3 linked regions of the Drosophila melanogaster genome follow. The protein of the gene in region 2 interacts with the protein of the main gene of each other region in a pairwise test. Each region holds a gene or a part of one and is shown on either strand. Other genes may lie near its edges. The genes, in order: CG4998, Got2 and Cpr65Ea.

Region 1 (3,758 bases), on a different chromosome or scaffold from region 2:
TGCTCGATGACCTCGTCAATCTGGGTGGTGCTGTTGCTCTGGATGGACTCGTGGACGAGGTAACGTCCCTGAATGTCAGCTTGTTCGGCGGGCTTGGTATCGACAGATCGGCGACTGGGCATGGCATCCTCCATGGGCGCCCACTCATTTCCCCAGTTGGATTCCTCGGCCAAGGAGGCGGTGGCCAGCAGTACAACTGCCAAAAGGCTAGTTCTTATTCTCATTGTGAAGCCTGTGAAATGATTAGATAGAAAAACTTTAGGATACCAATTCTCTAATATCTACGGATATATTAATCAAGTGATTGATTGACCATCTTTGTCGCCTTTTCTTTTGAGTGGAAAATAAATTAAGAGGTTTAGTCATGATTGGTTATGACATAAGTGGCGAGCTTGACACCATTACCCCAAGTCATTGTGCCAGTTTACATTTCTCCACCTAGCCACCGATCCCTCATACCATCTTTGGCTTAACCAATCCGTAACAAAACCGAATCCGAAGCCCAAACCGGTTAGCATCACGAAATCTTCACCGTGACTCAGACTCTCGTATAAGACTTTTACTTTCATTGGAGGTCGCAGACCGTAGCACTTAATTGCCTGATTTTGTACGTTACTTTTGCTCGAAATGCGAGTCGGGATGGCGAGGGGATCGCTGGCTTCAGGTCCCCGTAATTTATGAGGTAATTTTCCTACAGATTTAGCAAGCCTACGACTGCAATCCCACCGAAGACCATCGCTCAACTTGATCTCTCGCCCTGACAGCCGCTTTCCGCTTCGTGTCTCTTTTATTTGGTAAAATTCACTTTTCTTTTCAGCCTTTATTTTTATGGTCGTTTGCATTGCAGTTATGTCACCGGCTCACAGCGAGGGCGGATTTTGTAAAAGATCGGCTACACTTAACAAAAAAATCAATTATGAATGTAATATTGGTTTAAGGAGTAACTAATAGGATAGCCAGAATTATAATTTTGCCACTCGGAATTATATGCTTAAGTAAGAAGATATATTTATATTTTAAATGATTATGTAAACAGATCTGATTCATCTAGAGCGGCATTACACACTACAATTTCGAGTTATATTTTATTTTTTATGATTTTTTTCAAGTATATATTTTCCAGTTATGTAAATGTATCTTTGGATTTCTTTAGGCCTGCTTTTTCGGCCGGAAGTTGTGCGCAGCGTTGCATTGCAAATTGCCGGCAACTTTTTCGCTTGGATTTTCTTTGGCGAGAAGTGCTCGTAAGCGATGCTAACTGCCGTTTGGTTGGGTTTGGGAAATTTTTTTAGGTTTTTCCTTTGTGTTCGCAGTGAAAGTTTCGCTTGTTCGATTGGCTTAATGACGCGGAGGCTCTTGGCCAAGAGTTTTTATTAAGTGTATGTATGTAGGCATATTTGCAACAACCATAATTTCATGTGCTGCAGACTCATAATTCACATCTAATAGCCATTCATTTAAATTAGTTCGCTTTCGGTTCACTTGAGTTCACTTTGCTAATTTCGCTCACTTCACTCACCTTTTTTGTGTCAAGTTTATTAATCCAATTGGTTAGTTATCACTGTTGTCCGGATAATCCTTATGCAATTTACTGAGTCTCTTATCCTTTCACTTCATTCACTTTCTGCACCGATTGTGCTCTTCGATGCTCTGCAGATCGTTCACTGATTTCGCTTTCGTTGGCCGCGCACATTTTATACAAAAGCTGTGCATGCGCGCCGTCGACGTCAAGCTCCAACGTTTCGCTGTCTCTGTCTGCATTGATTCCGTCTTCTTCTAGCTTTCATACCGCCTTAGTTTGCGAATCGGTAGCCCAAAACAAAAGATACAAAAGCGGCGACGGCGACAATGTTTGGCAACCCCTCTTTTTCGCTGTTAGTGTTGATTTTTCGTCTGGGTTTTTTCCTCAAATCCCCAATTCTGCCCAACTACTGGAGGTCAGTAAACGAGGCGGAAATAGGCGGAAATATCACTATGATAGCTTCATTATCAGTAAGAAACCCAGAAACTATCATCACATTCAACACATCTCTTAAACATAACTGACTGTCTTAAACATCCAAATGGGGCTTTGTTTTTTTTTTTATGATTTTACCAAATTTTAAATAACCAAATTTAGCTTCCCGGAAAGGCGTTGCTTGAGAAACCGGGATTATGCAATTCTGCAATTATGAATTGGGTCAGAGAGTAGCAACCGCTGAATAATAAAAACATCGTGAAAAAGGGTAAAATTGGGCATTGCCTCAAACCGGATCTTTTGGCATACATTCATCTTTCCCCATTTTTTTTTTACTTCATACATCTGCCTCTCTTTTTGGTTGCAGTTCAGTTCAAATCGCCTGGTTTTTAACCCATGGTCAATGCAAACGTCATCGCTCGGTCACTCGTTTCATTTTCGTTTATTTTAACGTTTTTTTTATTTAACCTAGCTCACTGTGAGTAAAAAGCGCTTGGCGGAATTACCCGAAGTTCATAAAAATTAGAGACATTCCCCCCAAACTTATTCACGATGATCACGTTCGCGTGCCACTACCTTAAATCCCAATCATTATCAGGTTTGCGTTTGTGTTGTGTATGGTCAGTGCTGCCCGGCCGGAGTGAGTCTCATTGTGATTCAGTGGCTCCAGTGGCTTCCACTTGTGTTACTGACCTTGGTTCGATGTGCTGCAGTCGTTCATCTAGCCCCCACCTAAGTGGCGTTTTATGTTAAGCATTCCAAGAAAGTTGATAATGACCAACAGAGCTTCGAAAATTATGCTAATCACATTGATTTTTCTCGGGAGTTGTTATTGTCGCCACTCTGGGCTGTTTGCCAAACACCTTTTGGCTATTTGCTCGCGATTAATTCACGAAGTTTTTATCAATCAGCGTAGCGTGTGGCGTAGTTTTTGACCATCGGGTTTTTTATGACTCATACTATCGAGCACTTTGGGCTTTTCGAAGGAGGTGCGACGAACCTTATTTTGCATCGTTTTTAATTCCGTTTGGCTTACCTTTTTTTGGGGGTACATCAATAAGATGGAAATCGATTTTAATACATTGTTAATATAATATCTATAAAGGGTTTTCCGAATGTAAATATCAAACTTATTTAAATGTACGTTTCAGTAACTAATACATCTATTTTCGTTTGTTATACTCTGGTCTGAAAACTAGCATACATGATTAATAACTCATTAGGTCTTAAAAGCTTCATATCTTATTTAAATATAAATATTTAGATAACATTCAAACAACCTGATATTTGCAGAACAATATAAATAATGTGTTGATTTTATACGTTTTTATAAGTTTTAATTTAATCTCATCTATTACAGTGTATCTACGAATGCGGCTAATTGCTATCTACAATGATTTTCCTGATAAAAATAATTTTGGTAGTTAGCTGAAACTTGGCTATTGGTAAATCCCAGTGAGTGATGAACTGAACTTGAACTTGGACCTCGCCGGAGACAACTAATGCCAGGTGGACAGTTTGTAATCCGATGGGGTTACAGGTTCAGGGGCTTGTTATTGGATCTGCATTTCGGATTTGGTATATACTCATATCTATTTATGGTGCGCTCCAACATTTTGCACATTTCTTGGGCCGCACTATTACAACATAGCCTATGTTGATTATGGCCAACTTGTTAATTGTTTGTCCAAATGGATTTGTGTGGGAATCGTGTTTGCTCTACTTTGTTAGCTTCCTCCGACTGAATCACTCTCTCCTTCTCTTTCGCTCACCATACCTTTCTCTCTTATACCCCTTCGCA
Region 2 (3,758 bases):
GCTTCAGGCCCGTGAAGCAGAACATGCCGATTTGGTTGACAATGTGGTCCCAGTTCTGGCTGGATCCCAGCTTAATTAGATTGTCCTTGAGCTTGGTGCGCACATCGATGATGCGGTCGGCCATCAGCTTCACATCCTTCAGCCACTGGGCGCGCAAGTCCTCGTTGTTGAGGATCTCGGCGGCAATACGAGCTCCGTGCACCGGGGGATTGGAGTACAGACCACGGATCAGGATCTTAACTTGGGACATCACGCGAGCAGCCTCCTCCTCGTCGGAGCACAGCACGGTGAAGGCGCCAGCGCGCTCACCATACAATCCCATGTTCTTGGCGAAACTCTGGGCCAGGCAGAAGTCGTGGCCATCGGCCTCGAAGGTGCGGACCGCCTGGGCGTCGCGGTCAATGTCTCCGGTGGCGAAGCCTTGGTAGGCCATGTCGATGAAGGGATACAGATTGCGTTTCTTGACCAGAGCCGAGATCTCACGCCACTGCTCCAGAGTGGGATCCACTCCAGTGGGGTTGTGGGCGCAGGCGTGCAGAAGAACAATGCTCTTCTCGGGGATTTTCTGGAAAAGGTAATAAACAATGGGTAAGCATATCAAAGAACATCAATCAGTGGCAATGTAAATCCTCACCTTCAGATCCTCGATCAGGCCGCCAAAGTCCAGGGCACAGGTGTCCTTGTCGTAGTAGCGGTATCGGTTCACCGGCAGACCGGCGTGCTCGAAAATGGCCACATGGTTGCCCCACGATGGCGACGGGATGTAGATCTCGCGGTTGCCCTGCCAGAACTTGGCCAGGAAGGCGGCTCCGATGCGCAGAGCTCCAGTTCCACTGATGGACTGGGCGGTCACGTTGTGCTTGGCCGCCAAACGCTTGGATCCCTGTAATAAAGGAATACTTATTAATTTTTAGGACATTCCTCAGTCATAAGGGATATAATTACCTTGCCCAATGCCAGCTCGATGGCCTTGTTGTAGAACTCGGGAATGCCGATGATTGTGGCGTACTCCTTGTCCAGACTACGGCTCACCACTCTCTTCTCGGCCTGGTCATAAACGATAACTATGTTTCAAAATTGGGTTTAGTTTAAACTTGATCTGAACTCACCTCCCGAACACTGGGGAGCACGAAGGGCTGGGTGTTGTCATCGCGATAGGCGCCAGCGCCCAAGTTGATCTTCTTGGGGTTGGTGTCCTTCTTGAAGGCTTCCGTGACACCCAAGATGGCATCGGGTGGGCCCATCTGCACCTCGGAGAACCATGTTGATCTAGAATAATAATGATATATTAATCATTGCATCACAATATCCATCACGTATGTATTAAAAACATCCTTATATCTGCCACACTTGCCAAGTGATTTCTATTGCCCGTCAACCTTTAACCCTAGAATGCCCGAGAACGCCCCACGAAGTCCTTATCTGTTTTAAATTTAATTGGTAGATTATGAAACTGCTTAGTAGTAGGTTATCTCATCCACGTCTGACCACTTGTGGCTATCATTTATCATTTCGCTTTCATGACTAAAGTTTGAAAGTCATCTAAAGGTTTTCTTGGATTTCGCCCCCACTGTTAACACTTCGTACCCCCAACGACACGGGGGTCTTAAATAGCCCCCCCATATCAGCTGTAAACATGTTATTATGGGAACTCGGTCGGCGATTACAAAGTATACAATATAGATCCATTTAAGCCTACGTCAGCGATAACCTCGATGATTGTTTGCTGACGTAGCCGGCTTTCCAAATCTCCTTCTCAATATTCAGCAATAAATCGTGGAAGTTATTAAACTTAATTAAACTCTTTCAATTAGGCGCCACCTGTCTTTCGATCTGATTGTTTGATTTCCGGAAAGAACCTTCTGACTTCGATAAAACAAACCGCCCACAAGCCAAGGAGCTTCATAAAATGGAAATCAAAGCACGCGACAGAAGCGTGATATGACCACGAATACCCTACACTCTGTTCGCTCGGCACATCCGTTCTCCCGGGTCGTTGGACCACACATGCACAATGTCCTTAAGCGTCATAATAATGGTTCTACTCATAACTTAATATTAACTTAAACTTGCAATTTTGATGTAGAAAAAATACTTTTTGATGTCTTTTTCACAGTTGATTTCGTACAAATTCAAATATTTTGAAACTTGAATTATTTCTTTATTCCTAACCACTAAAAATATAATAATTCAAGAATGTTGGAGTGATTTAAGCTCATTTTGGCACCTGTTTTCTACCAACCCATCCGTCGTCATGTGGTTTCAAAATGTTCCCTCAAGTGGAATGAAATTAGCAGAAAAGAGCATGGAGCGTCACAGAATTGGCTTTAAAAATAAATACACATACGTCCGCCAATAGGCCAATCAGTCTATATAGTATAGTAGAGGGCCCGAAACATATGCAAATATTAGCCGACGAGATAAAAACAGCTGGAAACAGCGGAAATAATTGTTTTACATTTGCCCAGAGCGAAAGATGATTAAATAAAAGGCCCCTGTGCTGATATAACAATAAATCCGTATAACAGATTTAGTATAGTGCTAAAACTGGAGAACGAGCCCGCAAGGACAAACAAATTATGCAGTGCTGGGGAAAACAAACACAAATGTGTCACTGCAGCTCGACCGGCAACTGCAATGACCTTGGCAAATGACACTGCTGCATCTGCAACGTGTTCGTCGGCCTGCTGTCTCTTTCCAGCACGCACGCTGGCCGCTGGGAGCCCTCTCTCCGTCCCGCTTACTCACTTGCAGCGGAGGGCGGCGGGCGCCAATCGGTTGCTGATCAACAAACCGCGCTTACAGATCTGCGACATTGCTAAATGCACTCGGTGGTTGTACTAAGCTTTAAGTTAATAACAATTAGAAACTGTAATAAACGTTGCCAATCGCCGCCGGCCTCAAGAGAATACTAAAGACAAAAGCGGCAAGCGCAAAAGGTCGTGAGCTGAAGCTTTTGCCGGTCTGCATTCGATATTTATCGCGGGGGCGAAAGCTCGCCAGTGCTCCCCTTTTGGACTTTTTCTAACCGAACTCTTGGCTTCTGTGCAAAATATGACTGAGTGAATAAAAACTATTTAAAATCAGTTTAATTTATGGCTTTCATATACTGAATATTTGGAAAAATTTACATTTTGTAAGTTTAATTACTTGAATTTTGAAAATATGCTTCAGTATTCGAGCACATGCCCATAAGTAGGCAATGAAATATTTATTCTCCGCGATCCCCATTAATTAATATATGGTTGCCAGGAAACATTATACTTACTTTTCTAAAATAACTATATTTTATAATTGTTATATAAGCTATAATATATATAATATTTATTCCCTTCAAGCGATAGTTCGCAGCACTCCCGTCAATCGTCGAAGAAAGCTTTCTTCTGAGTCGCCGCGCGCAGCTGTTTTCCGTTCATACGAAAGCTTTGCGTTGTCTTCGGACTCTCTCCAGATTTAGTAGATTCGTAGCGCTGTGAAGAGGCAGAAAGAGGCGAGAGCCAGCGGAAAAGCCACCCGATACGTTTACCTTGTAATTCAATTAAGTGGAAGAAAATGCTGAGGTACGCGGTAATTGCCTGTGCTGCACTGGTGGTCTTCGCCGGAGCCCTCGAGTTCAGCGATTGCGGATCGAAGACGGGCAAGTTCACCCGGGTGGCCATCGAGGGCTGCGACACCACCAAGGCGGAGTGCATCCTCAAGAGGAACACCACGGTCAGCTTCTCCATCGACTTCGCCCTGGCCGAGGAGGCAACGGCGGT
Region 3 (3,203 bases), on a different chromosome or scaffold from region 2:
AATCGCAGCCAAAAGCAGAAATTAACTTGCCTCATGTCAAATGTTAATGAGCAGCAAGCGCACAGTGTTTTCATTGGACAATGTGATTCGGATTATTATTGGGAGTTCTATGAATATTTAAATTTAACTTTAGATTTTATTAAAAAAAACTACATTTTGTTTTTAAGCTTTTTACCATTTTACCGCCATTTCTCGCCTATCCGCACCTGTGGTAAAATAAAGTCAACAAAGTAAGTCCACAGACTTGTTTTGGCCGCAAACAAGTTTAGCCCAATATCTTTGCACTTTCCATGTTATTTGAAACAAAGTCTCCCTCGAAGGTATTGTTTTCGCTTTTCGCCCACGTTGACCTTGGCCTTCAGCTGTTTAGATTGCCACAGAAAGTTTCTTCGGTTGTCCAGATTTCGTTTTGTAATCCTAAACAATAGGGAACTTTTGAAAATCATTTGGCAGTCAAAGAAACGAAACTCAATGGATTTTTGGCAACTTTCGAGCCACTGTTCACAGCAAAGGAAATGTCACGAGACTGGCGTTAAATATTCAGTATGAAGTGCGGAGCATTGTCTCCGCTTCGGCTAGAATAAGATCTATTATATTGCTCCACTAATTAGTTCTTTCCCAAGCGAATTAGATAGACGGGGCAAATAAGTGGAATTAACACCAGCCAAGAGCTGGTTGTGGTTTAATCGGATGGCTGGGATGATGAACACATCGTGTGATGACTACTTTGGCAAACTTAAGATTACTAATTTCCATTCAGCTCTAGATCTGCTGGGCGCGAACAGCACGATCGGCCAGCTCCTCGGGAGTGGGATGCTCCTGGATGTAGCGGATGGAGCGCAGGATCTCCTCTGGGATTGGTGGTGGAGTGGGCAGGAGGTTGGACTGTGGGTGGAAGCCGAACTCATCGGCGGTGTACACCACCTGGACGGGAATACCCTCGGGAGAGATGTAGGAGTACGATCCGTGAGCTTCGTGTCCGGCCAAACCCTCCTCCTTGATCTGGATACCGCTGGCCTGCTCGATATCATAGGCGTAGGTGCCGTCCGTATCCTGGTTGGCCAAGAACTTGGTGATGGTATCATCGTTCAGTGGCGCGGCCAGGGCGCATCCGAAAAGGGCGACGACGAGAAGCTATTGGTATAGAATTGTCCAATTAAATCACTGGATCCATGCAAAAGGAATCTGCCGTCCACTTACGAGCTTGTACATGTTGCTGCTGCTGGTTTGTTGACCGAGTGGCTAATGCTGTCACTCTGGGCCCCCGATTGACTATTTATAGTGATCCGATCCGATAGTCAAAGACAAAGCCAACATGCAGACACAGACTCCGAATATGCAAACAAGTCGGGCATGCAGAGCGACCCATATTTCGCCCAATAAACTGCTTTTGGCCACACGTTTTCATTCATTAATGCAAGGCATGGAGTTCAATGGAAGAGTAGCGACTTTTGGATACCCTTTTGAGTCTTTTTTTTAAGATTTATATAAATGTAGATTAATAAGTAAGCCAATAAAAATTAAACATAAAAACAAACATGAATCAGTAAAAGCTTAATTGATTTATATAAAGTCTGTTATGTTTTTAAAACGTGCACTAGCAATATTATTATTAAATCCACTCCTAAACTTAGCTATACCCTAAAAAATCATGAACTTGGGTGGAGCGCTGATGACACAACCTCAATGCATCAAAATCAAAGTCGAATGTTGCTCTTCGGCAAACATCAACAATGCTAAACGCCATCGAGATTGGCAACAACAACTACAACTTGTTAATTTAATCAACCCAACAATGATGATTGAAGTTACAACATTTCTTCGGCTCGAGACGCGAATCAACTTGGAATCGAAGGGCCAATGCCAATTTGCATAATACAAAACTCCCGAGCAGCAACAAATACCAGCGTGCATTTATTAATTTCTGATTGAACTTCCTCCGGTCTGAATTTATATATAGATAATACTGAACCCAGATCTGCACACTTGTAGGAAAAACTCAAGGGGTTAGCTGCTGCGATGATGCATGTGGGCGATGCGATGGCATTGACACAGAGAGAAATATTAATGCCTAAATGAAAATTAAACTGGTTTCTCACGCTTGTAAGCAAATCCGTCACAATTAGCTGGCGAAGGGGAAGTCCCTTAAAGTTTTTGCCAAAATTGATATTGCTCACACTGTAGAGGGTACTCCCCACCCCCGGCGTTTTTCTTTTTAAATATTTTTGAATCACTGTGCCACAGATATGATTTATTCACCGCGTAGTCGGCATATTTTTTTTCCTGTGCAATGGCTTCAGGCACGGCCATATGCTCTCGTCTCGGCACAGGCACTCATAGTATAAACAAGCATATTAAATTGTATTTTTCTTTTATTACATTATTATTATCTCTGGCAATAAATGTCAACGTCAGTCGAGCCGACAACGGACACGGAATGGAGAAGGAGCCGGGGTCAGAGGACGAAGGACCTTTGAGGAGCCCGGGAGCATGTTGATGGAAATGTATGATGGTTCCTACATATATATACAGTGTGTGTGTGTGTGTGTGTGTGTGTGAGTGGGTGTGTCACCGCGTCCAGATGTAGTTGCTCCGATGGTTCTTTCTGCTGCTTGATGTGCACTATATATGCTGGATGCCGTATGTTGGATGGTCTATGGACTATGCAAACAGACAGGCAACAACATGGACAGCTGGACAAGATGGATGCGGAGGCTACGGATGCAATGGACGGATGCAGCATTATAGCTTCCTGTCGTAGGGCAGGACCTGACCCACAGACAACACTGGCGATGACGCAGGTGCGAGCAGAGCACCGGCTGGCTGCAGATACTGCTTGCCCTGCTCCTGACCATGGCTCTGGTGATGCTCATGGTGGTCATGGTGATGGTCGTGGTGCTCGTACTCCCCATCCTCCTCCGGGTGGTTGCGATTGTACTCCAGCGACTTCAGGATTGCCTCGGGAATGGGATGGGGCGTGGGCAGGTGCTCGCCCTGCGGCTGGAATCCGTTCTCATCTGCCGTGTAGGTCAACTGGATGAGCTGGCCCTCGGGTGTGTAGTACTGTGATGAGCCGCTAGCGTAGTAACCACCCACTCCCTGCTCCTGCTGCGCAATCCCGTTGGACGTCTCGAACTGGTAATTGTAGATGCCATCCTCCTGCTTCAGTTCGTTGACAAAGCTCCGGATCTCGGCATGGGCAT

The links.
Region 1: the proteins of Got2 (region 2) and CG4998 interact in a two-hybrid assay, tested with the Drosophila melanogaster proteins (one large-scale study listed by BioGRID).
Region 3: the proteins of Got2 (region 2) and Cpr65Ea interact in a two-hybrid assay, tested with the Drosophila melanogaster proteins (one large-scale study listed by BioGRID).

The regions. Positions count from the first base shown.
Region 1 is NT_037436.4:16,336,910-16,340,667, reverse strand, and holds the start of CG4998 (uncharacterized protein), read right to left. Parts: upstream 1,666-3,758; 5' UTR 1,520-1,665; intron 233-1,519; 5' UTR 225-232; coding exon 1-224.
Region 2 is NT_033779.5:1,984,837-1,988,594, forward strand, and holds the start of Got2 (glutamate oxaloacetate transaminase 2), read right to left. Parts: upstream 2,120-3,758; 5' UTR 2,050-2,119; coding exon 1,961-2,049; intron 1,270-1,960; coding exon 1,110-1,269; intron 1,048-1,109; coding exon 946-1,047; intron 884-945; coding exon 635-883; intron 566-634; coding exon 1-565. Other genes in the region: Npc2a (Niemann-Pick type C-2a), read left to right, coding at 3,553-3,758.
Region 3 is NT_037436.4:7,085,357-7,088,559, forward strand, and holds Cpr65Ea (cuticular protein 65Ea), read right to left. Parts: upstream 1,253-3,203; 5' UTR 1,213-1,252; coding exon 1,201-1,212; intron 1,135-1,200; coding exon 763-1,134; 3' UTR 647-762; downstream 1-646. Other genes in the region: Cpr65Eb (cuticular protein 65Eb), read right to left, coding at 2,743-3,203.